2 linked regions of the Astyanax mexicanus genome follow. The protein of the gene in region 1 purifies or fractionates together with the protein of each later gene. This does not show direct contact. Links are inferred from orthologs where the notes say so. Each region holds a gene or a part of one and is shown on either strand. Other genes may lie near its edges. The genes, in order: cebpa and mrto4.

What was found.
Region 2: the proteins of cebpa (region 1) and mrto4 purify together in Homo sapiens (affinity purification with mass spectrometry; 3 studies listed by BioGRID and IntAct, with this or other methods). This does not show direct contact. The link is inferred for Astyanax mexicanus from reciprocal best matches to the Homo sapiens genes CEBPA and MRTO4.

The regions. Positions count from the first base shown.
Region 1 is NC_064430.1:12,441,446-12,457,223, reverse strand, and holds cebpa (CCAAT/enhancer-binding protein alpha), read left to right. Parts: upstream 1-8,640; 5' UTR 8,641-8,941; coding exon 8,942-9,910; 3' UTR 9,911-11,421; downstream 11,422-15,778. UniProt on the Homo sapiens protein: Transcription factor that coordinates proliferation arrest and the differentiation of myeloid progenitors, adipocytes, hepatocytes, and cells of the lung and the placenta.
Region 2 is NC_064431.1:3,984,340-4,000,080, forward strand, and holds mrto4 (mRNA turnover protein 4 homolog), read left to right. Parts: upstream 1-7,020; 5' UTR 7,021-7,118; coding exon 7,119-7,146; intron 7,147-8,181; coding exon 8,182-8,240; intron 8,241-9,138; coding exon 9,139-9,242; intron 9,243-9,363; coding exon 9,364-9,445; intron 9,446-9,534; coding exon 9,535-9,602; intron 9,603-9,796; coding exon 9,797-9,948; intron 9,949-11,418; coding exon 11,419-11,495; intron 11,496-12,592; coding exon 12,593-12,745; 3' UTR 12,746-13,172; downstream 13,173-15,741. Other genes in the region: iffo2b (intermediate filament family orphan 2), read right to left, coding at 3,693-4,198; aflatoxin B1 aldehyde reductase member 4, read right to left, coding at 14,882-15,043, 15,294-15,423. UniProt on the Homo sapiens protein: Component of the ribosome assembly machinery. Nuclear paralog of the ribosomal protein P0, it binds pre-60S subunits at an early stage of assembly in the nucleolus, and is replaced by P0 in cytoplasmic pre-60S subunits and mature 80S ribosomes.

The sequences.
Region 1 (15,778 bases):
CCGATAAAGCGCGTTATCAGGCTGAGCTGAGCTGATGTTAGTCATACACTATTAGAGCTCAGCCACAGCAAGCTAACAGCTACGTAACTTCACAGGAATTACGGGGAATACCGCTAGCTAGCTGCGTTAGCTAGCCACTTTGTTAGCCTACTATTAGCTATGAAGCATTAGAGAGAGAGACTGTGTTCTTAACATACTTAGCAGAACGTTAGTTAGCTTTAGCTAGGCTATAAGTAAATAATACATTGTGACTAATGACTAATTTGACGTGTTACCTAACCTAGCTAACTACAGTTTACATCAGTGTCTAACAGTTATATCTGTCTGCTTACAAGTTAAGGGGTGTTCTGTCTAGTTCTGCAACCCATCGATATGCACTTCCTTCAGCACTGCGCATGCGCTGACCCTTTGCCCTTACATTTTTATAATTATTAAAAATATATAATTCTGTTTTACTCGGGTGTATTAACCTACACAACCTTAGTTTATTGTTATTTTTCTTGGATTTTTAGAATGTTATAAACGTATAACAGGCAGTTCATATAAAAACAAAAAGGAAAAAAAACTCTTGTAACCTCTATTATTTAGTATTATTATTTTTATTATTATGAACTTTACTTTATTAACTCAGACACACTAATTTAGGCTATCCAAATGTTCTACACAAACGTATTATGATAGTTATTTTGTATTTAACTTATTTAACGTCATTTATTTTACATTTCAATAGAACCTACACTAGAGTAGCAGAGTTTGACATTGGAGCAAAACTCGGCAGAACACAGGAATGAACTTGGTTAGCTTAGTTAGCGTTAGCTAGCTATGTTACATTCCAGTTAGCCGCTAGCAGACTAGCCACATTCCTAACAATAAGTACGGCTAGCTAGCTACATACAGTAGCTTAGTTACGTCAAAAGACACAGCCCTGCTAGCTGCTAACTAGCTTTAGTTTAGCCAGCTAATAACTAACTCGTGTTTTTTAGCTAGCTAGTTAGTGTCCTACAACAGTCCCCAATCTTAGAGTAAGTGTCATTAAAGAGGTTAAGTATAGGATATAATATTAGCTAAGCTAACGTTGTAACTACAGAAGTTGTGTTGCTGTAAAGCAGCAGTAATGAAACCTGTTCTGCGGTCCGGTTAGCAACAAGCAGCTAGCTACACAAGTTAGCCAGCTAGCTAACCGAGTATAGGACTACAAGGAATCTCTGTACTTAAAATTCCACTCCGGTTTTCTCCTCTTTCTCCCCTCAGACACACTTCTACCCGTCTTACCTGATCGAGGTTCAGATCCTGGGTTCAGTCATCCACTAAAACCGTGAGTAAATTCGTAGCCGCTCTAGTTGACGGGACAGAGACATCAGCGGAGCTGTTATTGTTTGGTACACTGAGCCGTGCCTGGCAGGATTGCGAAATCGTTTTTACCATGTAGGGAAGTCTGCCCGCTCAGCCAATCAGCGCTCAGCGCCGGGCAGGATGACGAAATGCAGCCTTTGACCGACAGCCCGCTGAACCAATCAGACGGTGAGACACAGTTCAGGGCGTGTTTATGTAACAAGAGAGTCATGAGATCATAGAGAGTGAATTATGCTCAGCTGGAGCGGTGCTGTTAGTGAACTGTGTAGAGTAAAGGTTCTCAACCTTTTCCACCTCACGACCCACCTGAGCATAACAAGAAAGCCCACAAGACAAAAGAAAAGAAAAGAAAAGGACAACTTATACGGCCATGACTCAATTACAGCTCTGGAAAAAAATGAAGAGACCACTTCAGTTTCTGAATCAGTTTCTCTGATTTTGCTATTTATAGGTATATGTTTGAATAAAATGAACGTTGTTTTTTTATTTTACAAACTACGGACAAAAAAAAATCTTTTAGAGCATTTATTTGCAGAAAATGAGAACTGGCTGAAATAACAAAAATGATGCAGAGCTTTTAGACCTAAAATAATGCAAAGAAAACAAGTTCATATTCATAAAGTTTTAAGAGTTCAGAAATCAATATTTGGTGGAATAACCCTGTTTTTTAATCACAGTTTTCATGCATCTTGGCATGTTCTCCTCCACCAGTCTTACACACTGCTTTTGGATAACTTTAGTCCACTCCGGGTGAAGAAATTCAAGCAGTTCAGCTTGGTTTGATGGCTTGTGATAATCCAGCTTCCTCTTGATTATATTCCAGAGGTTTTCAAATTGGTAAAATCAAAGAAACTTATCATTTTTAAGTGGTCTCTTATTTTTTTTCCAGCACTGTATTTTGTTCTGACACCTTAATAAGTCTTTCCCATGCATTAGGATCTTGTTCACATGCCTTAATAAGCAATGGCCACAAATTAATATATATTTTTAAGGCTCCATAGAGGCTCCATAAAAAATGTATATATAAAAATATTTTTAAGCTGTTTCCCTGTTGTCTGCGATGGTGACAGATGGTGACTTATTATGTTTATTTTGCCAAATTGCCTTTGGCATTACTCCAGCAATATGTTTCTATTTTTTGTTTTTCTATTATGTTTATGTAATTTTTATAGATTTTTTCTAGTGATGTTAATTGACTAAAAACTATTCTGTGATTAATTGTAAATAATCACATTTGTTCTTAATCCAAAAGAGGCTATCGTGATGTATGTGTCACAGGCCCTTCAAAAGCTGTGTAAAGTTCCTTACAGCACTATATAATATTTTTATTTCTGCTCCTGAAGTATCACTGACCTGTAGGGGTGTAGGAAAATACCAATATTGCATTGTAGTCCAGCATTAGGGTTCAGAACCACTCTACAGGACTTTAGTATTTTAAGGAGTTGCTTAATGGATTGGCAACCAGAATATATGAGAATAGACAGACATCACTAGCACTTAAATCAGTGGTTAAATTTGCAACAAATAGCATACTTTAGCAAAATTCCAGTAGACAGGCTGTTATGCTGGTAAGCTATGTTGGATCAAAATGTACCAGCACAACACAGACTAAAAAAAAGCAGGTTTCTAGAAGAAAACTCTTTATTAAAGCACCTTAATGGGTTCCTCTACTGCTTTAAACTGAAGAACCTCCTCAAAGAAGTTCTACTTTTAACAGAGTACCAGCTCTGAAACCTAAGGTTGGCCCACCAATAAGGGTGTGATATATTTTTGGAAAAGGCTGCTCACTAACCAACTGGCTTGCTTGCTACTATATTCATCCATATAATTCATTTTAAATTCTAATGGTGGGCTTATCCTGTTAAAACAAAAAAAAAAGAAAATATTTTTGTCTGTCTACTGAAACGTTGCCATGCTAGACAGACATAATGAGCTTTGTTAATGCTGTAAATTAAAAAATATAAATCTAAAACGCATTGTATTTTATCAAGAATTATTTACCTTTGTTATTGTTTACAGTGGTGACATGAGGTTAGACTAGTGTGTAGTTTGGTAAAATTAGCAAAAAATAATCAGGGATGGTGGGGGCATGTCTCTATAACTCTTGGAAATGCTTTACTTTGTCCCCAATACATTCTGAATTTCCCTATTGCCATTAGAAACCCATTCGGATGGAAACACACATTCTCTAGTGTAATCAGATATCCAGCCAGTATGCATTACTGGGCCAACTCTGACTTAGAGTCACCAATTTCAGCACAGCTGTGGGGCTGGATGGGTAATTATTATAGGAAATATTATTAATGAGAGCATATTTATGCAAATGTGTATCAGTAACTTGCATGGGTTGGTTCAACACAAATAACATTATTTTAAAATTTAATGCTTTAGTTAATAGTACAGCCCCATCCGGCATCCCTTTTTTAAGTTATACTACACTGTTATAACATAGAGAATAGATCAGTTCCTTTTATTTTTGAATGATATTAGCAGTTTTGGTCTTGTTATTTGGCTCTGCCCCATCATTTAGCACAATACTATACAGTGCAAGCATCTGTTAGCAGATATTAGAGAATTGGGAGACCAGCAGACAGTGTGACCTGAGGATCATTGGTTCCAATATTGGATCATAGTGCTTGCCATCAGCAGACGGAGTCTGAGAGAGCACAACTGACCTTGCTCTCTCTGTGTGGGTAGATGTCGCCCTTTCTCCCAGATCGTTCCTAATGTGTTGTTGGTCAGCACAGGCATCTGTTAGCTGATGTGTCGAAGCTCGGGTGCTGCACATTCCTCTGAGTGCAGTTGAGTGCATCCCCAGTGATGCTGCATCAGAGGTATTTTGATAAGAGGCAGGTTCTGACCCATAACACACGTATCAGAGGAGACATATGTAAGTCTTTACCCTTTTAGTGTTGAGGGGCATTTGTAGTGATAGAGGGAGTTCAAATAAATGGGGACTGGGTAATTGCCCTTACAATTTGGGGAGAAAATTAGGTCAAATTGCAAATATCCAAATGTGTTTAGCTGTCTAATGATGTCACATTATCAGCAGTTTAGAAAGCTGTAGTTGGACTACCCTGAACCATTGGGGTTTTGTAAGTGTAGTTAAGCCTGGACAGATTTGGTCATTCACTGTGCAGTGAATTACAGTTGTATGCCAAGGTTAAGGCACCCCTGGCCAAGATATCTATTACAGTAAATTGCTACATCTGTACACTGGGCATGTTTTCATGCATCAGGCTTGTTTAAGTGTTCTTTTAAAGACTTCTGAATCTGATGTTTGTGGCAAGGAAAGTTTTTCTTCCATCTTCCATATATTTGTAGGTGTCACTGCACAGTAGAACGGCGCACCACTACTTTAGAGTATGCTAAATATTTCAGAAATTTTAAGGTCTTAAAAACGAGTTGAAATAGGCTTTCCAGAAATCCAATAAGCAGTTCTCAACTTGACTACTTTAATTATTTTTATGAATTAGGAAATACTTTCCTTAAAACACTTTGCTTTGATTGTCTTGTAGCTGTTGATAGTTGAAGATATTTAGTCCTAGATAATTAAGTTATGAGACCTTAGTAAGAGTTCTCTAAGTGCTATTGGGTTGTACAATTATATTATATTATATTCATATAATAATACACTAACCCCTACCGTGATTTTGCTATTCTGTGTGTGTATTCAGTGCATGGAATCTAATATAACCATCACAATCATCTCGCATGTCACCAAATCAGAAAAGAAATCTGATCTAGGATCACAAATAAAAAGCTATTTTGACATTACCAGGATGAAGTGATTCAAATCAGGTTTTGTGTCAAATCAAACTGACACAGATTTGATTTTTTAGGGCGGTGTGAATATGACAATCAGATTTGACTACTTTTCACGTGTGTTCAGATACATATTAAATTTGTGAGGAAACAACATAAATGTGAACGCCCAGATCAGATTTAATGCATCTTTTTTTTAAAGCCCCTGCTTTAATCATAATTAGCCAGCACCAGTGTTGTGCTGAACTTTTTGTGCATGCATGTCAGTAAGCAGTATGGGCACAACAGATTATGCTTATGATTCCTGTTGTTTCTGTTTATGAATAACTATTATAATTAAACTTTCCTTCACAACAGCCACAGAGTCAGATTCTGTCAGGTAGTCAGATTCTGTCAGGGTCATTAATGAATGTGAATCATCAAGATCACCATTTTAATATGAGCGAAAAATCTGAATTGATTAATGGGTCCTGTAATGTGTGCAAAGTAAATAAATCAGATACAATACAGATAGAATAGATATGCAATATTGGACCACATATAAAAGTTACTTATTCAAATCTTATTTGAAAAAGTCTGGATGGCTTTGAAATGTCCACTCAACCCTAATACACATTAAGGCAAAAAAAATCTGATTAGAAACACTTTCTGGTAACGTGAATATGAGGCTGTATCCGTGTTTTAGAAAGGGCAAAAACAGAACTTGTTTAGTAGAATGTCTAATATTTTAACGTAATTGTTAGGAACTCAGCTCCTATTGACTGTGACCACAACAGTTTAATATCCAATGTATGTGAATATTAAGAATGTAAAACGTAGTCATCAGAGATGTATAGTAATGAAGTAGTACTTAAGTTTTACACTGATAAATGTTTATGTGCTGCATTGTTACTTATTCCAAACACACATTATCACTAAAGCCAGAGCGGCAGATGCTCTGTACTGTCACTGGGTTTGATGAAGGTGCTCATCAGTCATCACTGAGTGAATCAAGAGATCAAGCTGGTCTTATGAGAAGACCACACTGCTCCAATTCTGCATTTCACTCTGCTGCTTGCCTGTAATATTATATTCAAACTTTTGACTGCTTTTTGTAAGAACTACATAACACAATACTTTTACTTTTAGTACTTGAGTACTACATTTTGGAATAAACTAATTGCAGTACTTAAGTACAGTAAATGTTAAATACATTAATTGTAGAGCTTAAACTACACTTCAACTTCTACTCAAGTGACTTTTTTGATAGAGCACCTGCACTTTTTATTCAGGTCTCCAGTACTTTATACATGGAAGATAACATCATCATGCATAACCTACTAAATTGAGTAGTGAATTTATTGAATGGGTTAATGTGCAGTCCAGTTTATTGGAGGGTGTTAAACCTTTTATCTGTCCTATTTATGTTCACCATCTACAGTGTGGTTTCAGGAAATCTGTTAATGAGCAGCTTCTGACGTGTTCAGATTGTGTTGGACGTGTCTAGCATGACTTAGATTTACCCATAAAATGACGTTGTACATATTTACATTTCTAGCCAAAATATGAATGCCGGCCAATCAGGTAAATTATCTCAGCGGCCACCAAATGCATATTTTTTCCACATTGCTACATTTTTTGTTAACATAAAACGTATTGTTGCTTTTTGTTTAACCAACTTTCAGCTATTCAAACCTTTAAATTGTTTTTTTTTTACAATGTACTTGATTTTATATGAAATGCAATCTAAACTTTTTAAAGTTCATTACAGACAACAATGCAACCAAGACTTAGCTAATCATGCCAAGTCATTTAATTCAACATAAACAGAAAACAGTGTCCCACACAATGTCCGGTTATTGTGAAGATGTTTTTATTTAACGATCTCCTCGTGTGCGCTGTGTTTCCGAGTTTACCGTAACTGTTCCAGTCTGATACCGGTTATTACAGAAACAGCTCACGTTCTGGTGGGATGTGTATGTTAATATGTAAATGAAGCACTGGTGTCGCGCGCTGTAGCGGTAGAGGGAGCTCCCCGCTCGCCCTCTGCGCTGATGTGGGAGTGTGCGCGCGCGACCGTGTGTAGGCTATGTGTGTGCGCTATGTGCGCGAGTTTGTCGACGAGTTTGATTTGGCAGACTGAAGGTGAACACACGCACACACACACACACACACGCACACGCACGCACGCACACTTTTTGTGCGCTTTAATATCACACACGCTACTGATTTTAAGTTTAGATTAACGTTTATCATTATATGCATCATTATACTGTTTATTCATTTTTTATAAGTTTTTTTTATATTAGATTCAGCATCTATAAATGCGTTTTGGATTTCTAAGGTTCTAAACTGCTGAAAGCTGGCATTGAACATTTTTACTGCGTTTTACTGTGAGGCTGCAGAACTATCAGACAGAGATACCCACAGTACAACTGGTCAGCTGCGAAAGAACCAGTGCAGAATCATTTTGGTTCATGTTTTTTTAAAGGTTTGTGCTTTTGCTATTTTTTATTATTTATTTTATATTATTTTTATAGAAGGAAACTAACTTCAATAGATCAGGTTATACTATACAAATAAACTAATAAACATTTTATTAGCACGTTCCTGATCAAGTGTACAATTCAGTCGAATTAAACAGATACAAAAATTTAGATAAATTTTTATCTAAATTTTTAGCAATAAAGATTATTAGCGTGCAGATCAAATAAAAAATATGTATAGATCATATACATTATAACAATATCCTGTAGATATATACGATATAAGACTGTAGCTATATATTTTGTACATATACTAAAATATTGGTAAATACAAGCAATAGGCTATTTATTTATGCCTGGACAAGGATTAAGCCTAATAAAATACTATTTTATATTGTCCTTTTAATAGAGAAAATCTACATTCACAATACTGTGTAGTCCTAGATTTAAGACTAGACTTAATCCCTGTCTGTGAAACTGCCTATATATGTATTATCATTATTATTAGTGGTTATATATATTGATTGTTGCCGTTGTTCAGAGTGTGCAGTTAGGCATACAGCTTACTTACTCGTTCTGTTGCAGCGGAGTCTGCAGCTCTTTCTCTCTCTCTCTTTCTGTCTGTCTATCTCTCTTTCCCTCTCTCTTTTCTCACTTAATTTTGTGTCACTCTCTCCAAGTGAAAGTTATATTTATATAAGGCTAATATACAGTGTGTGTTATAGGCTATATAATATTTGCTTCGTTAAAACAAGACAGATGTGTGTTTTTTGGGGGATTTGCATGAACAATCTGAAGTCATATATCTCTTGGATATCTCTCTCTGTAAGTGTGTGTAAATGCGCTTAAAATCGACTCTCGTATTCAGAATATGAGGTGCTGCCAGGACTGCACGCTGTACGTGTGCGTTAGTTTCTGTCTCCCTTGTGTGTGTGTGTGTGTGTGTGTGTGTATGTGTGTGTGTGTGTGTGTGTGTGTGTGTGTGTGTGTGTGTGTCGCGTTAGGACCAGGGGCGCGGCCGTGCAGCTCGGCGCACACGGCTCTATAAAAAGCTCGAGCAGTTCGCTGTGTGTCAGACGGGAGGCACACGAGCTCAGTGAGAAGGTGCTGCTGCTCTACACGCACGCGCAAGCAGTCAGGCACGCACGCACGCATACTCACTCACTCACTCACCTACCCACCCACCTACCCATACGCACACACAAGTGCGCTCGCTCACACGTGCAGAGCGAGCGGGACCTGAGCGGGACCCCCGGCGGAGTGGCTGGCGCGCCTATACGCGGACGGACGGTCGGCGAGAGCCCGCTAAACTGGATTCCCGGAGCTCGTCACCATGGCCGGCGGCGTTTAGGTCCTCAATGGAGCAGCCCAACCTGTACGAGGTTGCCCCCCGGCCACCGCTCACCACCCTCTCTGCGAGCCCGCACGGCGCCTACTGCTACAAGGACGACCTGAGCGAGATCTGCGAGCACGAGAGCTCCATCGACATCAGCGCGTACATCGACCCAGCAGCGCTAAACGACGACTTCCTCGCCGACCTCTTCCACAGCAGCGGCGGCGGCGCAGGGGGACTTGGCGCACGGCACGACGCCAAGCTCAAGCTGGCCGCGGGTGACTACAGTGGAGGCTACGGGGACGGCGCGCCGCACGGCTACGGCTACGCGGGCGGCTACGTGGACCCGGTGAAGCTGGAGACGGCGTACGAGGCGCGCATGAGATCCGCGCTCGCCATCAAGCAAGAGCCGCGGGAGGACGACGAAGCCGGCCACGGGCCACCAATGCCGCCGCTGCCGCCACCAGCCTACCAGCACGCGCACCAACAGGGGCACGGACACCACCATCCTCCACACCTGCAGTACCAGATCGCGCACTGCGCGCAGACAGCCGTGCACCTGCAGCCGCCGGGACACCCGACGCCACCGCCCACCCCGGTGCCCAGCCCGCACCACCAACACCATCACCACCACCAGCAGCAGCACCACCACCACCATCACCAGCAGCACGGCGGCTCCATCAAACTGGTAGGAGGAGGAGGCAGTGGTGGTGGAGGGAGCGGAGATCGCTCCAAGTCCAAGAAGCACGTGGACAAGAGCAGTGTCGAGTACCGGCTGCGGCGAGAGCGCAACAACGTGGCCGTGCGCAAAAGCCGCGACAAGGCGAAGCTGCGCAACGCCGAGACGCAGCAGAAGGTCGTCGAACTGGCATCGGACAACGAGCGCCTGCGCAAGCGGGTCGAGCACCTCACGCGCGAGCTCGAGACTTTGCGCGGCATCTTCAGGCAGCTGCCCGACGGCTCGTTTGCCAAGGCGGTGGGCGGCTGCGCCTGAACTGACGGGGACGGTTTCTCTCGGTTCTCCCCTCTCGGTTCTCAGCTCCGCTACTCACAGCGTCCGCCGGATGGACTTCAAAGACGCGCGACACGATACTGAAAAAAGTGTTTTCCACACGAGCCAGGCAGCTGCGGTCTACATGTGCCTTTTGTACAAAAAAAATATTATTAATAATAATATTAATATTAATAATAATAATAATAAGCTCATGTCTGCACATATTTGAACTTGTGGACTTCATGGCTGTATTGAAGTTGTCTTTTCTGCCAACATATCATCATCATAGTCATCATCAGTGCAGCTCACGTAGGGCATGATTTCACTTCAAGCAACCGTCCTTCATGGTTCTGAAAGGTACCAACTTTTTCTACCATCACCCACAACCTTCACCCACCACCTTCATCCCCCCTCCAAGACTGTCTTTTTATGTTTTATTTTCTGCAAAGATAAATCTGCTCTGCGTGCACGAGCCTATTTGGTGTTATTTCTTAGAGACAAATACACAAAATGCACGTGCACAAAAAAAAAAAAAAAAAAAAAAACTTTGTTTTGTTGTTCTAAACATCTGCAGACATCGAAACTTGTTGAAAACTTGCAAGGCAAAGACATAGAAATAAAGGTGCGCAGATCAGATAATCAGATGAACCATAGTTCAGTACTGTAGTCTGGGATGTATTTTGACTGTAATGATGTGGTCTATGGGGGGCCGGTGGTATTGGGGCGGTTGGGGGGTTATGTATCTGTATGTATGCGTTTTTGTATGTGTACGTAAAGCGGACTGAACATGATGCCAATGCCATGCCAAAGCAAAAGGACTGGAAGCCCAAACTCTCTAAACTGTGGTCTAAACTGCTGCCTTCAGAGCAGCGGATTTATTATATGCACTATGTGTGGTCAGACTGATGGACCTGACGGAGCGCACGATTTTTTCGGGGTACTGATGTGTACAAGCTTTGTATTTATGCAGTAACGATGCTGGGTGGAAGGGTGTGTGTGAGTCTGTGTGTATGTGTGTGTGTGAGAGAGAAAGAAAGAATAAAAGAGTGTGAAAGGAAAGAAGGGGTCACCCTGCGCTTTCTCATCCCACCCCACCCCCGTGAAGTGCTGTTTGTAGCTCAGTTCATGTTCTTGTTGTTTTTTTTATTGTTTTTTTTTTTTTTTGATGAACTGAATTTCAGTGCCTTTCGACTTTTCCTGTCTCTATGTCACCACTGGCAGAACTTGTTTCTCTCTCTTTCTCTATGTCCCTCTCTCTCTCTCTCTCTCTCTCTCTCTCTCTCTCTCTCTCTCTCTCTCTCTCTCTCTCTCTCTGTTTCTATCTCTATCTTTTGGACTCTGTAAATCTTTGAAATACAGGCTAGAGCAAAGGAAAAGGAAGCACTTTTTTACAAACCGCCTATTGCAAATGTTATATGAATGTTTTAAAAATACTTTTTTTTTCAATTGTAAAATGAACATTATATATGCCAAAAATTTACAAATTATAATAAAAAGAGTATTGTGTTACATTTCCTCTTGCTGCTATCTTACTTCCATAGTGCTTACAAAGGTCAACAGACCTTTGAACTGATACGTGTGTTGGTATCTGTGTATTTCAGCTTCAAGACATATTTAAGAACCAGTTTAGTAAAAAAAATTATAATAATATATACTCCACAAACTCTAGACTTGGTTTAGAAATTGTTCAGTTATTAATCCTAATGCAGAAACAACTGTGAATGATTTGGTAATCATTTAGTTTAGCATATCATTTGGAGACCTACAGGGTTCAATTTTGGGGGCTATGAAATTGATGATAATTACGACAGCAGTGTTGTTATTAGAATTGTGGGCTTATACACAGTTTAAGGAGTTTAAGGGGTTAACTGCTAGAGAAAGAAATAGAGCATTTACTATAATGCTCGTTTGACCACTTATTAACTGTGTGTTGTGCTAACATGCTGTAGGAGACCCTGCATGTTGCAGTTTAAAGGTTACAGTACAGTAATGATTCTAAAGCTGAAGACTCTGAGTCTCTTGAGGATCAACCCCCTGTTGCTCTTGCCTCTAAGCAAATCTACTCAGGTGCAGTTATACTGTTTGCCAATAGACGGCGCCTGTAAGTCGCCTGACTTCTTTAACTTCCATGAGTCATGTTGAAAACACTGCTGATTACAACTCTGTAACTCTGGCATTGTTTTGATACAAAGAATACAATGCAGTATCATTAAAAACCCACCATGTCTAGATACAGATGTAGGTCCAGGTTTCAACACATTTACAGTGTGCAAAACTGACAGACATTCACTCTTTAACTGTATTCAAATGAATCCACAGCCACCACACCAAAAACAATTGATGCATTTACCTTAGAAAGTGACCAATTCTTACATTTACCATCATTATATTCTACAGTGTTCACCTAAAGGGTTAGATTCCATTCTTTATACACACATTTCCCTCCAAAAAAATTTCAGTCCACACAAAGACAAAAATGAAAAAGAGAGAAGCATTAGATAGATAGATAGATAGATAGATAGATAGATAGATAGATAGATAGATAGATAGATAGATAGATAGATAGATAGATATTTTTTTTATTCTAAAGAAGCACAAACAACAATAATAGGGGCGGTACAGCATAATTAAAAAAATAAGGTGCAGTAAGAAAATTAAAATTTCACTGCATACATTTTGAAAAATATTTTCACCTACACAAAGAGACAGAAAAGAGAAGAGGTAAAACTTTGAAAGAAAGAAACTGAATGTTTAAAACAACATATTTCCTTCTAAAAGAAAGAAAAAAACAGCTTTCCCTTGAAGCTACATACACACATATCTGGTTAAAACCAAAAAATCCCTCTGTTTTTTAAAAACATATATTTTAGTCCCCACAGAGAATTAGAAAAAAATAGAAAGAAATAAGCATTAGAAAGAATTACAGATTTACATTTAAATCACCCTCTCTTTTCCCTTTAAAAACAAATACTATTTCCACTAATACTACATTTAGACACATCTGGATATGTATTAAATAACTGAGATTTGGTTTCCTACATTAAAAAAATATATTTCTATCCACATGCAAACACAAATTATAAAGAAGGACGCATAATACAGAAATACGTTTGAAAAAGTAAAACAGTAACTCTCTCCACCTCCACCTAAAAGAAAAGACTGCTTTCCAAAACAGATATTTTCTCCCCTGATATGTTAAAAATATTTCAGTCAACACAGAGATTAGCAGAGTAACTTACATTTGAAACCCATTTCCCTACTCAAAAAGGAAAAAAAAAAACTTGCATAAAATGAGACATCAGGGTAGAAGTTTAATTCTAATACAGCTTCTTAAAAGTTGTGTTCCGTGCAAGAATTCTGGGTTTTAATTAAGGGAATCAAAATAGCGTACTATGTATTTATAATAGAACAAGCAGCATTTACATGCATTCATATTCATATTCATATGTTCTGAACAGCCTGAAAGCTACTGATATCAAAGTGTATACGTTGTAGTTTTATGACTTATCAAGTTAAGAAATTTCATTGTCAATTCTGCATATTGTCACTGTCCAATGAAAAGCAAGTATCTCCAAAACAGCGACTTTACAGGAAAGAGAAAAAACCTTCTACACTTTCAATGGAAGTCAATGTAAAATTGACTTTCAAGTTTCAGGGAATTTGAAGTATTTCTATTGGTCCGTTCATCAAGACATTCTGACAGTTTAAGGGACAGTTTGTTCAAATTCTGTAGTAAACTAAAAATCAGCAAAAATGGAGGTACTTGTTTTTCATTGGACAGCGATGATATGTACATTACAGAGAACTTTGGTTACTTTCTTTCCCAAAGTTACAGAAAAACACCCAACAAAAAAACAAAGTAATAGTTGACTAAAGTACTGCAAAATACAATTATAAATCATAAAAGAATGAAAGTTTATAGACAGACATATGTCAGACAAGAGACACTAGACAATAGTGCAATAGCAGAAAGGTGTGTTTTGTGACATCAGTGTTTTTTTATTATTAAAACTAATTTTCCCCAATCCACATAACAATAACGAAGATGGAGTTCTCTAAAACTTCTCCGCCTTGGGTTTTTTTTTTAGAGATTCCTCAAAGCACCTTAACCCCTTTAACCCTCTATGTAAACCCACATGTCCAATAACAACACTGTTAATAATAAGTATCATCTATTTCTTCAAGGGCCTTAAAATTGAACCCTGTAGGACTCAAGACCTTGAGGGAAACTAGCTCATTAACAGTTGTTTCTGCATTGGGATTAATAACAGAACAATAGCTGAACTGAATAATAATATATTGTTATGGCTGCTATGGGGTTCATTCATAGTTTCAAATGGAGGAGCCTCTAAAGTTCCTAAAAGTGATTGGACTTGATTGGACCGGATTGGAGGCTCTAAAATCCCCTTAATCTTGTTTAAGCAGCGCAGTCAGCGCTCCTGAGTGTGTCGGTGGTAATCATCCCCTATAACAAATATTTACTATCAGCTCTTACATATGCTGTAGATCACACATTACACTGCTGCGTCATCGGCGGAGCTGATAGCCGCTATCTTCCTGACCGTTCGTCAACACCAGTGATTGATTGGGGCTTTTGTCTTCATCTTTGAATTGATCAATTTGTCAGAGTATGATCAACAATTGAACACCACTGATAAGCACAGCAACTCCAAAGAGGCAGATAGAGTGAGTGAGTGAGTGAGTGAGTGTGTATGAGAAAGAGAGAGAGAGAGACAGAGAAAGAATTAAGCCTAATGCCCGAATCAGACTACACGAATTTAGCCCGATTTCGTCGGATCCGTGTAGTATGACATACAGGGGTTGGACAATGAAACTGAAACACCTTTCATTTTAGTGTGGGAGGTTTCATGGCTAAATTGGAGCAGCCTGGTGGCCAATCTTCATCAATTGCACATTGCACCAGTAAGAGCAGAGTGTGAAGGTTCAATTAGCAGGGTAAGAGCACAGTTCTGCTCAAAATATTGCAATGCACACAACATTATGGGTGACATACCAGAGTTCAAAAGAGGACAAATTGTTGGTGCACTTCTTACTGCCGCATCTTTGACCAAGACAGCAAGTCTTTGTGATTTATCAAGAGCCACGGTATCCAGGGTAATGTCAGCATACCACCAAGAAGGACAAAACACATCCAACAGGATTAACTGTGGACGCTGTAAGAGGAAGCTGTCTGAAAGGGATGTTCGGGTGCTAACCCGGATTGTTTCCAAAAAAACTTAAAACCACGGCTGATCAAATCACGGCAGAATTCAATGTGCACCTCAACTCTCCTCTTTCCACCAGAACTGTCCGTCGGGACAATAAGTTATTGTGGTCTAAAACCAGGTGTTTCATTTTCATTGTCCAACCCCTGTAGTCAAAGAGAAGTTTTCTGGACCAGCGAAACAGAATAAAAGTTTGTTGAGCTGTGGCATCAATACCCTGCCTTTATTCTGTTTATATTCTTTATTTATTTATTCTGTTCATTCCTTTATTCTGTTTCCATGCACTGAAACCTAGCTAAAGTAGCTACATCTTTACTATACCTCAAGTTCTCTCTGGAGTACACAAAGCCCTTGATGATCTCTTTGGGTCATCCAGGAAAGAGGCCACAGTTGCTTCTTCCTCTTCTTTTTGTGTTTTTCTAAGCACAAAAGCACTACCATCACTCAAAGCGCTTCGGTAGCCATGATTGTCAGATTCTATGCTCCTCTCCCGCGATGACCTACGAACTGTGTGCTGCCAGTACGACACAAAACAAAGATAACTGCTTAATCTGACCTAGTGAACATTGTGAGGGACAAAAAATGGTGTGTAGTCTGAGCTTTGCATGAAAGAGAGAGAGAGAAAGGGAGAGAGAGAGAGAGA
Region 2 (15,741 bases), on another chromosome or scaffold:
TGTCCTCAAAGATACATGTGCTATTTAGAAGAATCTAAAGTATAAAATATATTCTGTTTGTTTACAGAATAATTCTGCATGTGTTCCTGTATAGTTTTTAAATAGTCTTCCATATTAAATTTACAATGTAAAAAAAATCATTAAAAGAAAGAAAACACATTGAATATTAAGAGATGTTTCCAAACTTTTGATACAGTGTTGGTACTGTATGTTTTCCCAACAAAGTGGCAACGCAGTATACTGTATGTTTAGCCAGCCATTTGTTGGTGAATGTCCACTGTTTTCATAAAGCAAATGAATCCCAAAAGCTCATAGAAAAGAGAGCAATGCAGAAAAATACAGAGAACAGGATGAAATGTCCCACATTCCTTTCAAATGACTTCAAACACCTAAGTAATTTTTGATCAAGCGCCCACATACGGCTCAGTCGCTGCTCATTAGAGCCAGAAGTTCTACAGAAGCATCTCCAGGCAACTCCCTTAACAAACAAACAAGCCTGAAAAACACAGAAGAGAAGTTTCCTTCTCATAAACTGGCGACTACTGTTTCCTTTTTTCTGCCACAAGTGATTCAGCTCAGAGATGTGATAATTATCTGATGATACTGTGTGTGAGGGGAAAACAGGGAAGTGTAGGGGGCTTCTAGTGCCTCCAGTGTGGGACGGTTCCAGAGTATATACCGTACAGTACATAACATCATCAAAAGATTCAGTGTAAAGTACAAGTCAGCCAACAGTCCATACTGGATGCTGGTGATCTTCGGACCCTCAGGTGGCACTGCGTTAAAATAGGATATGATTCTGTACTGAATATCCACAGAAAATTGTTCAGTTAAATGTCCCATATTCATTCCTTCCAAACAACTTCAAACACCTTAGCCATTTATGATCAAGTATCCATAAGTAGGTAATTACAGCCAGAAGTTTTACAGAAGTATCTCCAAGAAATGTCCAAGTATGTATTATAAGAAAGCCAGTCAACTATGGAAAAACAACTATTTAACACTATTTAAAGGAACAATATGTGAGTTCTGAGAGTAAATAATTTCTGCCACATGCTAATGCACCAGTATCTCAGACCAAAATTAATTGTTTATTGTTTATTAAGCCTCTCCTGCTTGATTATTACAATGGTGTTACAAAGACCAGGAAAAGCAGCTACTAAACACACTTTAGAATCTTCAGCCTGAATGCTATGTTTGTTAGCATTGCAGCTCCAACTCTACCTAGGCCAACTGTTAGCATTGCTGCTCCAACCCTGCTGAGCCAGGCTTATAGCATCATGGCTAACTTGGTGCAACTCTGCTAAGCCTGACTGTTACTGTGTAATTGTGACTATCCTGATCCAAACGGCCAAAGATCCGAACAACGTCATTACAGAAAAGTCAATCAATTTGGCGACCAACTTTATTAAGTTATTTCTAGTTATGCAGGACCAGCTTTTCATCTATTTGAATAGGGAGAGACCACAATTCTGGAAACTGAAGGTCAGATTACTGTTTAAAAAAGACATTTTAAATCGTGATAAAGACTAGTAGTAGCGTTTGTCTTAATAAAGCACAAAAAATGAGATTATTCATACTGGTATGGATAGTGAGCTTGCACAGATCTCCATAATGAGGAAAGGCTTCCCCACCAGCATGCCAACACTTGATCTCTATTGGACTGAATTGGCTCTTTTTGTTGAAGGGCTTGACTTTGACTATCCATAAACAGCGACTAAGTTTAGTGTTCCAAGAGATAGTCTCCATATTAATAACGTCTTTGACTGTATATTTTATCAAAATATTGCTAGAAAACTTAAAAAGTTAAGAAGGTGCACCATTTTCAATTCCTTCCATGGTTTGTAAGTATAACATCCTTACAAATACAGTATTAATTCACCTGAATGACCATGTGATATTACTAAAATCTAGGAAAATCATCTGTCCATTTCAGTAATTTCCCAGCTGACACATATCTGATTCATCCCATCACTCAACGACTCCATGATGTGATTCCACATCCAGTATTTGACTAAGGAAACTGTGCTGGACACCAGCCTCGCAGAACTAGAGTTAAGGACCCCTGCTGTGGGCTATGAATTACTTAGCTATGCTGAACCAAGAGCCTTCAATACCCTTTATTCATCAAAGCCTGTCCTCCAAAAACACATTTTAAAAACACGCCCCTTCCTTTGGGTTCCACTCTAAAGCAGTCTGGTCATTTTTGCTGTTCTGCTGCCAAGATATTCCACTGCAATGAATCAGTCTGCCTTCAGCAACAAAAAACATGGAGCAGAGGCTTTAAATCCAGTGCAGTTCTATTAAGCTGTAGACCTGCCATGTTTGGGAAATGTTACAAAAAGGCAGATTTCAGGACTGTACTGTAAATCAGTCTGTACTCAAGGAGTCAATGTTTGTAGGTATTAACTAATTTCAGGACCAGCTGTGGTTTTATAGCATTGGGCCTGGACTGGGGCTCAAGAGATCTAAGTCAATCTAAAGCCATATATAATCAGAACCAGTCAAAGGTTATCTTTATTCATTTCTACATTGTAGGATAAAATGCAGAATACCAAAAGTGTTTGCCTGCCACAGTCACATGACCTAATGCCAATTAAAATGGCTTGGGATGAGTTAGACCACACATGCAAAAGAAAAGCAGCCAACAAGTTCCAGACATTCAAGACTGTTCGAAAACAACTTTAGAAGACCTTTATCTCACATAGGCAAATATCTCACATATTTCACCTTAAATTATGTTTAGTTTTGAAACCACTACTATTACACTTTTACTTGAGAAAAAGCATGAGTTGATACTTCTTCTATTTCTATCTGAGTAATCAATAACTGTAACGAGTAATGATGCAGCACATAAAAAATGTATCGGAGGAAAACTATTAAACTCATCCAACATATGTGGTAAAGTAAAAGTGTAAGTAGGAGAAAAATAATACTCCAGTAGATACAGATACAGTATTTTAGTACTTAAGTACAGTAGTGAAGTAAAAATAATACTCCAGTAGATACAGATACAGTATTTTAGTACTTAAGTACAGTAGTGAAGTAAATATAATACCCCAGGAGATACAGATACAGTATTTTAGTACTTAAGTACAGTAGTGAAGTAAATATAATACCCCAGGAGATACAGATACAGTATTTTAGTACTTAAGTACAGCTCTGGAAAAAAATAAGAGACCAGTTTAGTTTCTGCTTCTCTAATGTCGCTATTTATAGGTATATGTTTGAGTAAAATGAGCATACACACTGCTTTTGGATAACTTTATGCCACTTTATGCCACAATTTGGTAAAATCAAAGAAACTCATTATTTTAAATGGTCTCTTATTTTTTCCAGATCTGTACAGTAGTGCAATAAAAAATAATAGGTAAGTTGTTAAGTTTCTGTTGCTACAAAACAACAAAAACGAAATTAATAAATGAATGAAGAACAATGTTTTAACATGTGTTTTGTTGCAGAAGTATGTATATTATTGAAATGAATTAAATATTTTTTCCCTATTTTTCATATGGTAATGTTGTAAAATTGTTTAGGGCCCCCTATTTGGGACTCAGTATAAACACAGTAGGCTGTAATGCATATATATGAATTTATGCAGTATGAAAGCACATGAAGATAAACATGCTGGAGTGCTGAAATCACTCATCATTTAAAAATATAAACTAGCCTTATTTAAACAGGACACTTACTTTCTCTTGTACTCGTCCCTCTCTCTCTTCACCTTGGCCAGTACGTTGTACAGGGCTCGGAGCTCCGGAGTGATGGTATCGATCTGCACCCCGACCCCGTCCGGATGGGTCCAGGACACCCCGGGCCCGTGCAGGGTCTCCACCCGCTCCCCGGACCTCCGCACGTGCGTGTAGCTCCAGATCGTGCCGGGCAGCCGCGGCTCCTGCGGGGAGTCGGTCTGCACCGCGACGTCCCGCGCGAACAGGCTGTGGTACCTGGCCCGCTCGGCGGCTTGCTGCAGCTGGCTCTCCAGCAGCTTGTTCCGCCGCTCCAACTCGTGGACTTTGGCGAGGAAGCAGCGGAAGCGCAGGTTCAGCGTCTTCAGGACGTGGATGTTGGAGCCCAGGTCGTTCCTCAGGGCGGCTGCGGGCGCTCCGGACCCTCCGATACCACCGATACCTCCCGGGAGGGTCGTGAGCATCGCGGCGGCCGGGGGCAGACCGTCGCCGAATAGCAGCGAGCTCATCCTGGGTTGAGCCACTGTGTGTAGCGCTGCGGTACGGCTGCTGCGGTACTGGAGCCAGCCGCTCTATCTGTATGATAGAGCTAGCGCTAGTTAGCTATCCGAACAGTCCAAACCCACTGTTTTTAACGTCTGCCCACGTCTAAAACATCCAATAAACCTCCAAACTCAAGCGGAACAGTGACGGCGAGTGACTCCACCATCACTATGCGTATTTTCCTATCTTTTCAGCATGTTTCAGCAGTTTTTAACCAGTTTGTAATTATTCAGTCCATCCAGTTAGTTAATTCGCGTCTCAAGAGCGGGTCAGCTCGACTTCATCCTGAGAAATCGCAAAAAAATAAAATAAAAGTTTTATTTCAGCTTTTATCACTTAAAACTCACGTTTTATACTACTAATAATAAAGCACTGTCACCTCCCCGAGCTGTCACCTCCAGCTCCTCTCACCGCGTGCTCCTTCAGCAGTAGCAGCAGCAGAAATTCAGCAGCCCGGTTTCTTGGTTTATATCCAGCAGATAACGGGTCGTATTACAGCGGCGCTAAAGCGCAGTGACCGCATCGAGAGCCACGCCCCCCTCCGGTCAGAGGCAGGAGTCGGACTGCAGGGCTACAGGCCACGCCCACTACAAACACGCCCATTGCATAAACCACGCCTACATTCGTTCCATGCCCATCCTATGCGTTCAGATTCTGAGGAATAAGATCATAAACTAATAGATTTTGATAAAAGTAAATAATATATATTATTTTAACTCAAGTAAAAATGTGAAACTGCTTAAAGTATAAAAAAAAATTTAAACCATATTGTCTATAATATTAGGTTAAAATGTTAACCATTTGAACCCCAGCCTATTTTGTCAGTTCCCCTTTGACTTGTTTAATAACACAGTTATGTTAGGAGACAGCCACATGCTATTATTTTCCTTCATACCAGAAGACATAGAGCTGCTCAAAAATGTCATAATTTGAGAAGTAAATGTTCCAGAATTTATAAATCTTCATGGAATTCATTATGTTTTGTTAAAAGGTATAAAAATATATAAAAAAGTATAAAGGTATATCACAGTATAAACCAATAGGGTGTCGCAATGGTATATGTTTATACTCCTCATCCAATCTATTTTTAAAATTTAGGGAGTAAAAAGTTCAGATAATTGTGTGAAAATGTGAGGAGTAGAAGTAAAAAGTCATCTAAAAAAAATACTTTCTCCAGTAAAAATAACCTTTTGAATAAGAATAGATCTCCAACAGATTAAAACACAAACAAGTCAAGTGCGTAAGGCAGAGTGGAGTGTTCACGGCGCACTTGTGCAACTTTTTTTATGAACATAGTTTGAATTGTTACTTTGCTATATTGTGATTATTACACCAACTTTATATAAAATAAAAATAGCATTAAAAAAAAACTACGCCTACGTCACAGACACAGCACTGCTGTATCTGATCCACCTGTACCAGCACAACACACACTAACACCTCATACACCACCACCATGCAAGTACAGTCACTGCAGTGCTGAGAATAATAAGACCTTCCATCAAAATAATAACAGTAATAGCTGCTCTGTGGTGAAAAACTGGATGAAAGGAAGATAATAATAATAAAGTAACAAATAAAATATGTAAATAGAAAAGTAAACAGATACAGGACTACAGTCTGTAGTTATATAGAACTATAAAGTATCCTATGTGATGGGTTTCTGTATATTTGCCACAGTAACAAGATATGATTCATTCTTTGCAAAAGCTTAAAAGCCTATTGCTGTATGTTATGACCTGTCTTTCCATCGTTATATAATAAAGGTTAATGAGCCATCATCTCTAGAGAAGAGTCAAATTATTATATAACCCTGCAAGCGTGTGCAGTCTCGAGCATCCTTCAGAAATAATCATTTCTCTGAAGCATCTCAGTACCTGCTCTTGAAACACACCTAATATGAGTACATTCTTACATAACCGTGGGCTGTTTTATAATCTGATTTCTACAAAGTGGCTCAGATGCAACTCTCCTTACATTTACTCAGAGGAAATGTGTGTTTTGTACAGCTTACCTAGCAAAAAATACTGATTCTTCTGCTTTAGAGCAATAAAAATATGCTTTGTATATCCACTTTTGTAGATTAACTAATTTAAACTGAGAAAGATTGTTGTAATGGAAAATATTTGTTCATATTGAGTAATTTTAAAGGTTTTGCAGCCGTGGCAAGAAGCAGGCTGCAATACTGCAGTAAATACATTATATTTTCAATAGTATCCAGACAGGCCTCCTGTTACTATTACAAGCTGCACATACTGCTGACAAAGCTAGTCAGGCATACTGTTGTACAGAGTGTATGTATGATAAGCTCCATAGAAAAGCACTGACCAATAGAACGGTGTTGGCTAGAGGAGTATAACGACCCCCGAGCGTTTTGGGACTGTGTGGCAGTGGAACTGTGTTCTATGGAGTGATGGACCTCCATTCAGTGCATTAGGGATGAGCTAAAGTGGCATTGTAATCCATAGCACATCATCCAACATCCGTTCCACAGTAAAATGAATGTTTTAATGTGTCAGGGAATGCAGGCAGAAAGACGTGGAGGCGGACGCAAATGCAGGTAATGCGAATTTTTATTAAATAAATAAACAATGGGGGGGGGGGGGGATAAATACAATAAATACAATGGGCAATATAGTTTAACTATATTCAATCCTTTAGAAGAATTCTCCAAATCAGTGAAAGCATTAAATTGGAAATTTGAGACTCATTTATTTTGTTGATTTTGGCGCCACCTGTTGGTGAAGAGCTGTAACTTTCTCATCACATACCTGCTTCCTGCTTCACACATGCTCTCTCAGGCTCTGCAGGCTGCGGTAGGGGGCAGTGCGGGGTTTTAGCGCAGTTTCTAAGTCTTAGAAGAAGAGAGAGAGCAACGTGAGAGCCATGCCGAAGTCGAAGAGGGATAAGAAAGGTATTTAAACCGGTTTAAAAGTGTTTTCGTCGATATTTTACCTCAATAATCTGCTTTATTCTTAAAGAAGTCACTGACTCTTCTTAGATTAGCATTAAAACCTACAGAGAAACGGCTGGGCAGCATGCCTGGCTAACAGGCAGGAGCTAAACACTACCAGCGTGTGTGTGTTTGTGTGTATGTACATAGTTTTAGTAAAAATATGGATTATTTTCTGGCTTTTCTTCCTTTTTTGTACATAAATAACAGTTAAGCTGTAGCTGGTGATGCTTTGTTAGCTTTTTACACTCATTTTGGCCCTTTTAGCTTGCTGTAAACCAGTCAACGTAGTTAACTTAAACAGTATGGGTCTGTGGATCATGTAGTAATGTGTATTTATATGTTTGTTTTTTATGTGTTTTGTGCCTTTTCATTAATTCATAAACCTTCTTTCTCTACAGTCTCCTTGAGAAAAACAGCCAAAATGAGTCTAGAAGCAAAGCAGAACCTATTTATATAGTTTTAGTAAAACAAAATAGTTTTAATAGTTTTAGTAAAAGTTTTAGTAAAAATATGGATTATTTTCTGTCTTTTCCTCCTTTTTTGTACATAAATAACAGTTAGCTTGCTGTAAACTAGTGAACGTAGTTAACTTATCCAGTATGGCTCTGTGGATCATGTTGTAATGTGTTTTTATATGTTTTGTGCCTTTTCATTAATTAGATAACCTTCTCTCTTTACAGTCTCCTTGACAAAAACAGACAAAAAGAGTCTAGAAGCAAAGCAGGAACTAATTATTTAGTTTTAGTTTTAGTAAAAATATGGATTGTTTTCTGTCTTTTCTTCCTTTTCTGTACATAAATAACAGTTAACTAACAGTTAGGCTGTAGCTGGTGATGCTTTGTTAACTTTCTACACGTGTTACACTTATTTTACCCCTGTTAGCTTGCTGTGAACTAGTGAACGCAGTTAACTTATTCAGTATGGGTCTGTGGATCAGTTTTTTTTATATGTTTTGTGCCTTTTTATTAATTAATCAACCTTCTCTCTTTACAGTCTCCTTGACAAAAACAGCCAAAAAGGGTCTAGAAGCAAAGCAGAACCTGATTGAAGAGGTTAGTGTTTTGTTCTTTTTCTTTTTTCTTCATATTAGTAAAATTAGGTCTAGTTATTTTTAATACACCCCACATTTACGTCAATTAATTTTTGTTAAGAGCAACATTACTGTTTTTAAAATGTTATCAGTGTCCTACCATGACCTTCCCTGCAACATCTAGAGAGCTAATACTATTGCATCTAAAAAAAATGAATATCATTGAAAACTATTCACATTATTTTATTACAGTAATTCAATTCAAAATGTGAAACTCATATATTATGTAGATGTATTAAACACAGAGCGATCTATTTTAAGCGTCTATTTATTTTATTGTTGATGATTATGGCTTACAGCCAATAAAAACCCAAAAATCTAAAAATTTAAGGATATTATATAAGACCGATTGGTACTTTTGTCAGTGTGGGCAGTGTGCCAAGTCCTGCTGGAAAATAAAATCCGCACCTCCATAAAAGTTGTCAGTAGCAGAGGAAAGCATGAAGTGCTGTAAGATTTTGTGGGAAAACAAAACTGCACTGACTTTAGACTTGATAATAAAACACAGTGGATCAACACCAGCAGATGACAGACATGACTCTCCAAACAAACCATCACTGATTGGTGGAAACTTCACACGAGACCTCGAGCAGTTTGGACTGTGTGTCTCTCCACTCTTCCTCCAGACTCTGCTCCCTTGATTTACAAATGAAATGTAAAATTTACTGATGGTATATTACACTAGTATATTCATTCTATAATCAGGTTGGTTTGTTGGTAGGTTGATAGATTTGTAATCTATAAAAGGACCATAAAATAGTGCCTAACATGTTATATTTCATGCTATGCAATATTCTGTAATGCCTGATTTGATATATGTGTTAATGTATTAATTTGTGTATCATCATCTCTCCTTCCAGCTCAGAAAATGTGTAGACACATACAGATACGTGTTCATATTCTCTGTGGAAAACATGAGAAACAACAAACTGAAAGATATCAGAGCAGCTTGGAAACACAGCCGGTGAGAGATACTAAATATACTTTACTGAATTTTCTGAAACCCCGTTGTTTTAGTGTATTTTATCACAGCTGGAATGCTAAGTTGTGTATTTTCTAATATAAATGCATGTTTTGTGTTTAAGTTTCTTTTTTGGAAAGAATAAGGTGATGATGATCGCACTCGGGAAAGGACCAACAGATGAATACAAGGATAATTTGCACCGGGTATGCAAATTATTTAACTATATTCACAAATAAAGTTATGAAGAAGCTTTTGTGCTGGGTTTACAACCTTGTGCTTGTCTGTCTTATAGGTCAGCAAATTTCTGAGAGGAGAGGTGGGCGTCTTGTTCACGAACAAAACCAAGGAGGAGGTCCAAGAGTAAGTGCTATAGTGTTGAAATTATGAAAAAACACATGGTCTTTGAACCAAAAGATGCACCCAAGTCTGCCTGCCTTGATTTAGTATAAATTGTCTTAATTATCTTCTTTCATAGACTGTGCTTTTGTATGGGGTTAAAATAAACTCAAATCTCGCATTTTGATGCAGTGTTGAATGTTTGTGTCCTTGTTTAGGTATTTTAACAGTTTCAAGGAGGTAGATTACGCACGGTCTGGTAATGTTGCACAGATGGCGGTGACGCTGGACGAAGGGCCGCTAGAACAGTTCACACACTCTATGGAGCCCCAGCTCAGACAGTTAGGACTGCCCACGGCTCTCAAAAAAGGTAAAAAAAAAAAAGCTTTTGGAGAAAAAGTTTTTTCATTTAAAATGATTTAAACCAACTTAATCTCTGATTTTGCTAGAAATCACATTTTACAGTATTCTATTATAAAATCAGAGACCACGCATTGTTTGCTTCTTAAGCTACGCTAAGCAACTACGAGGCCAACGTCAAATTTCATGCCTAAATCAGCAGATGCATCAAATAATGTCAATTTTTTAAGTAATCTCAGTTGATTGGCTTATCCCCTTAAAAGGCCTTGGCCCGTATACAGGCTACAAATGTAGATGATACAAAACCCTATTTCTCTACAATAAAAAAAAAAGTTATTTACATTTACATACAAACCTTTTAGGGCTTTGGAGAAACTTCCTGTCCACTCTCTTTCTACTTTACTTAATTTCAGATTAGTAAAAGGAAAAACCCAAATTCTGCATGTCTGAAAGTATACATGAAAGACTAGACATCTGTAACGAAACTAAAGGTTTGGAGGACAAGCAATGTTTGTATGATGAAAATATTGATTTAAAAAAAATAAGGTTTAGAAAGCACATTGACTTTTTTTTTTTAATTTGTTTTATTTAGACAGGTTTACTTTTAAATGTGTAAATATTTTCTTACAATTAGGATATTTAGTAATGTTTCTTATCATGCACGAAACCTTTTTATGTAACGCTAAATTAGAAAATATAGAAATATCAATTAATAGAAATCCTCAAGATTTATGCAGGTAATATCAGAAAGAAAATTGACAAAAATGCTGTCCTGTTGGTGGTTTAAGTAGTTTTTGACACTGAAGAACACACTTTAAACACTAAAGAACATACCAGTACAGACAAATTTCATTTTTTTGCTAAGGCTGATTCTGCTGGTTTTAGCCAGGTGACATACATTTGTCATTTATAGGGATAAGTGTGTCATACATTTGAAGAAAAAACATAAATAAACCTACTTTTGAGATTCCTTTTAACGTACATGGATTTTGTTAAGTTCCCACTAATGTAATTACACCCAAAAACATAATATAACTTTGGAGGTTTAGTCAAAAATGTAAATAAAACCTAATAATCTAATAACTTGCCTAATGTTGTAAGACAGGCTTATGACTGTATAATACGATTTATATAATACCATGTTATTTCTTATTATATTATGACGTCCAGGCTGATTTATATGTAACACCTCATTCATAATGATACAGGATGCAATTAGTTAAAAGTAAGCTTTGAGATGATTATGTAATCAGATAAGTGATAGTGAAGTGAATAGTTTGCACAGTGCTGTTCAGGTTCTACAAACTTAATTTACATATAAACCACATTAGTCCATAACTCTAAAGAGGTGAGCTTCAGACACTAGCCTCGACTCTCAGTTATGTTTAAATTAATGGGAAATTGTTTTAATTTGTTCCATTGATTTTAATCCGAATTTTCAAAATGCTAATGAAAATGTATAATGTGTGTTTTTTTGCAGGAGTGGTGACATTAATAAAAGATTATGAAGTGTGTAAAGAGGGAGACACGCTCACTCCTGAACAGGCTCGTATCCTGGTGAGTAGCCTTGACATCATTTCGGGCTTTAGTAGGGCTGGGAGGTTCATTTAATTAATTAAATTCATGAAAATAATGTTTTAATGTGATTTCCAAAATGGCATAATTGAGACTGTTCATCTTTACACATAGAAGCTGCAGAGTGAATCTCAGTTTATAGATATTTGTTTCTGTCAGAAACCTGTAAAGAACCTTTTTTTATGTTGCAGTGATTATATATTATATATATTTCACTCTTTTCCTTGAAATACAAGGAGGTTATTTTTGCACCATGTTTAATATAATAAATGCTGCAGTTAAGATAAAAGGGGGCTGCTTACAAAAAAAAGAATAAAATATATGGAAAACTACAGCTTGTGCATCACTTTTACATGGTGGTGTTTGTTTAAAATAAAACAACTGAAGTTGTAAACTGTGTGAGGAATACGAATCTTAATTGTAACACTCGTATTTTAACAATTGAGAATTTTTTTTTTTATTTTATTTATTTATTTTTAAACAATAACATAAAAAAAAGATCTGTACTAATCTGTACTAGACAACATTAAGAGGTATATGTGCAGTTCACAGGTGGAAATGCATACATTATGCAACCATACATTTAATTATACTTTTTAGTTTCTAATTTTCACATGGGTATTTCTTGCTCTTATAAGTAATACTGTTGTAATTAATTCTATAAAAAGTTATTCTGCACATCCTAAAAAAATGTGGCTTCATGTTTTATTGAATTTAGATAATCCCAGTACATTTCAGAATTAAAATAAATGTAATAAAAATAATGATGAACTGTCAGTTTGCTGTAGAGGAAGGTACAGTTTACACTAAATCAGGGTTCTTCGATTTGGGTCCAAAGAGACCAGTGTTTTTTTGCTGGCCTCTTTGGATTAACTCATTAATTAATGATCAGGTTAAGTAGATGTTTCTGCATGATATTATATATAAAATTCATCTGTTGGAGACTTTGCAGCTGTATTTTGTATCTGTATAAAGACCTTAAAAACACTTAGAATAAAAGTGATGTTAAAGAGTGTATTTTAAGTGAATGAAGAGTATTCTATTCACAGAGACTGATCTGATCTCTTAATTTATTCCAGAAACTCTTTGGGTTTGAAATGGCCGAATTCAAATTGAGCATAAAGTGTATGTGGAACTCTGAATCTGGAGACTTTGAGATGTTGGATGGTGATGAAGGAGACCAGAGAGATCTTGAGGAGGATGATGAAGAGGAGGATGAAGGGATTGAATAAACTGGAGGAGGAGTGTGTGGTCAATGGACTTTTTCTCTTGGATGTTTTATATCAGATTGTGCAAGCAGACCTTCAGCAGCAGGTTATATATCTGTGTGTTTTGTTTCTGGAGTGTGTGATCCAGACTAACCGTTACCCAGCAAGTTCAGTTTTGTACATCATTGTGTTTTTGATTCTTTCCTTAAAATATACATCAATAATGGAGGTTATCAGCTTCTGTGTGGAATCCACTACCTCTGATAAGATAGAAAAAAAACATAGGGCTGTTTGAAATTGTTCACAAAACTGTCAGCTTCCACATTTACAAATGACATGTAATTATTAATGGATATTGATCTCAAAATGACTATCAGTAAAATAAATGGTGGATTGGATATCAGGGAAAAAAAAATAGATTAAATCCCATCCAATCCAGATGTCATGTTAACTGTGTGTTTCAGCATTTACTATAGTTTGGAATTTTGCATAATTAAAATGAAAGCTATTCTGTTGAAAAAATAAAAAGTAAAAATATTCAGATTTTAAAGGAGAACTCCAGATTAAAATGGATTTGGGTTGTAGTGAAACGAGTGAATGAGTATAAATTTATGTAAAATAGCTCACCTCTGTTCTCCCTCAGCATTCCTAAATAAAGCGTTTTTTTAGCTGATGCTCCCAGCAAGCTTACAATGCTACTGATGGGGGCATAAATTTACCCGTGCAAAGAAAAAAAAGGCTATTTTGCACCATTAACAAGCTCAAAGTAGCTCCACGCTTTATTGGTAGAATTCTGAGAGCCCTGGCATTTAAAACAAGGCACTGAGGACTTTAAAAGTGCACAGATAGTTTATTAAAAACACTTTATATACACTTCAGGTAGGTCTCGGGGCACCACATTTTTAGAAGGTAGTCGTGAAAACCTACCGCCAAGCACAAACCAAATAGGTAGGTAAGTTTGGGGGGGAAAAGTTTGCTAAATGAATTCTGTGGAAATGCATGATTATATGCATATTATAAAGATATTTTAAACAACAGTTGGAAAGCATCAGGTAAAAGTGCTGTATTTCAGAATACTGAGGGCTAACGGAAGTGGGCTATTCTACAAAGGTTGTTACCATGTTTTACACCAAATTTCTCCTGCATTTTTTTTTCTTTAAAAAAAAAAATCAAGTCATAATACACTTAAGCTCTTTATTTTATACAGTACAAATTAGTAATTCTCTTTTTGTCTTTGGAACTAATTGAAAAAAGTATATTTTTTTCCTAAAGCAGTTTGGACTGTGTGTTTCTCCACTCTTCCTCCAGACTCTGTTCTCTTGATTTACAAATTAAATGGAACATTTACTGATGGTCCGTAATGGTAAAAAAAAAAAAAAAGTATAGGGTATGCTTTAATTTCGCGATTTGAATTTAACGATATAGCTGATCTGCAGTCATGAACAAATGCAACATTATAAGCTTGTCAAGAACTGGTTAACCTGCTAACAGTATATGATGCGTTTTTGCCCAGATTTTTTTCATCTTGGCTATTAAAGCCCAACTTAAACCATCCAAACCAGCAAAACGTGGAAGCAAATTTTCAACAAGGTGTGATATAATTAAAAATGTTTAATATAATTAATGTGCAACTTCATAATTTTGTAAAATTATTTTACTATTTTACAAACGTTTGTTCTTGTTACCAATTGTCACACCAAAAAAAAAAAAATCCTCCTAATTCTTTTTAAAAACTCAAGCCAAAAATACCTAAGCTGTTCCATTTATACAGTATAAATTAGTAATTCACTTTTTGTGGGTTTTAAAAAAAAAAGAAGGAAAAATTAATTAAAATGTATACATTTAATTTTTTGTGCTTCCCCAAACTGAACATTTCTATATTTTTAAACTTTAAATTACTATTATTAGAATTTTCTTTCATTTTCTAGTTCACAAAGTTGTAAGCATATCGTTATATGTGCACTTAAGGGCTAACAAATATGGAATCCACAGCAAATTATTTTTATTATTATATTTATTAGGGAAATCTAAACAAACAGGTGTCTGTAGAATTACAAAAGTTCCTTAAAACATTTTTTTCATAATATTTTAAAGTGCTTATTGCTATTATTTATAGACCATCTGAATAAAACACTGATTTTCCTTAAACTCAACCTGAATCTAACGGAAGTAGCTGGGACACTCGTGGGCCACCAGATTCCAGCCGTTTTTGAAGGCATCCACAACTTCCTGCTTTAAAGGACCTTCTTCAGCTGCTGTTAAATTCTCCTGAAGCTGCTCCATACTGGACATCCCAATGATCACACCATCACCAAGATCCCCCTAAAACATAAACAGTAATCTTTTAAGCAGGAATAGGAGAAAAATGATGTAATATAAGCAGTGCGTAAACAGTTAAATCTGCGGTTTCTATAATAAAGCTCCCTGCTTTAGGTTTTGTAAATGACTAAATGTTGGAACAGTCAAAAACTAGTCTCAATCCAGAAACCCAGAAATCTATACTGTTCTAATAATAATTCTATTAGATCTGATAAAATAATGAGTTAACAAACCTGGACTGAGGAACTCTTACCTTAAGCTCAGAGTGGTGATACATCCAGCGCATGGCTGCTGATGTTAAAGTTGGCTTCTGTGAACCGTATGCTGCCTGAAGAGCCTTCAGAACACCATCTATAGCATAGAAATGGCTCTCGTTCCAGTACCTAAAACAGTGATAGATATGATTTAGAACTGATAACTGGACACTGTTTGTATCCTGCTGCTAAAAAAGGAAATTTAGAGATTTGATTTTGATGGTTAAGTTGTTCTGTAATCATGAATAAGCAATGCAACATTAAAATATAAGCTCATCAAGAACTGGTTAACTTGCTAACAATATATGATATGTTTTCGGACAGATTTTTTTTTTTTTACCTTGACTATTAAATCCCAACTTAAACCATCCAAAACCAGCAAAATGTGAAGGCAATTCTTCAGCAGGGTATGAGGTAATTAATTATGTTTACGCTACTTCTTAATTT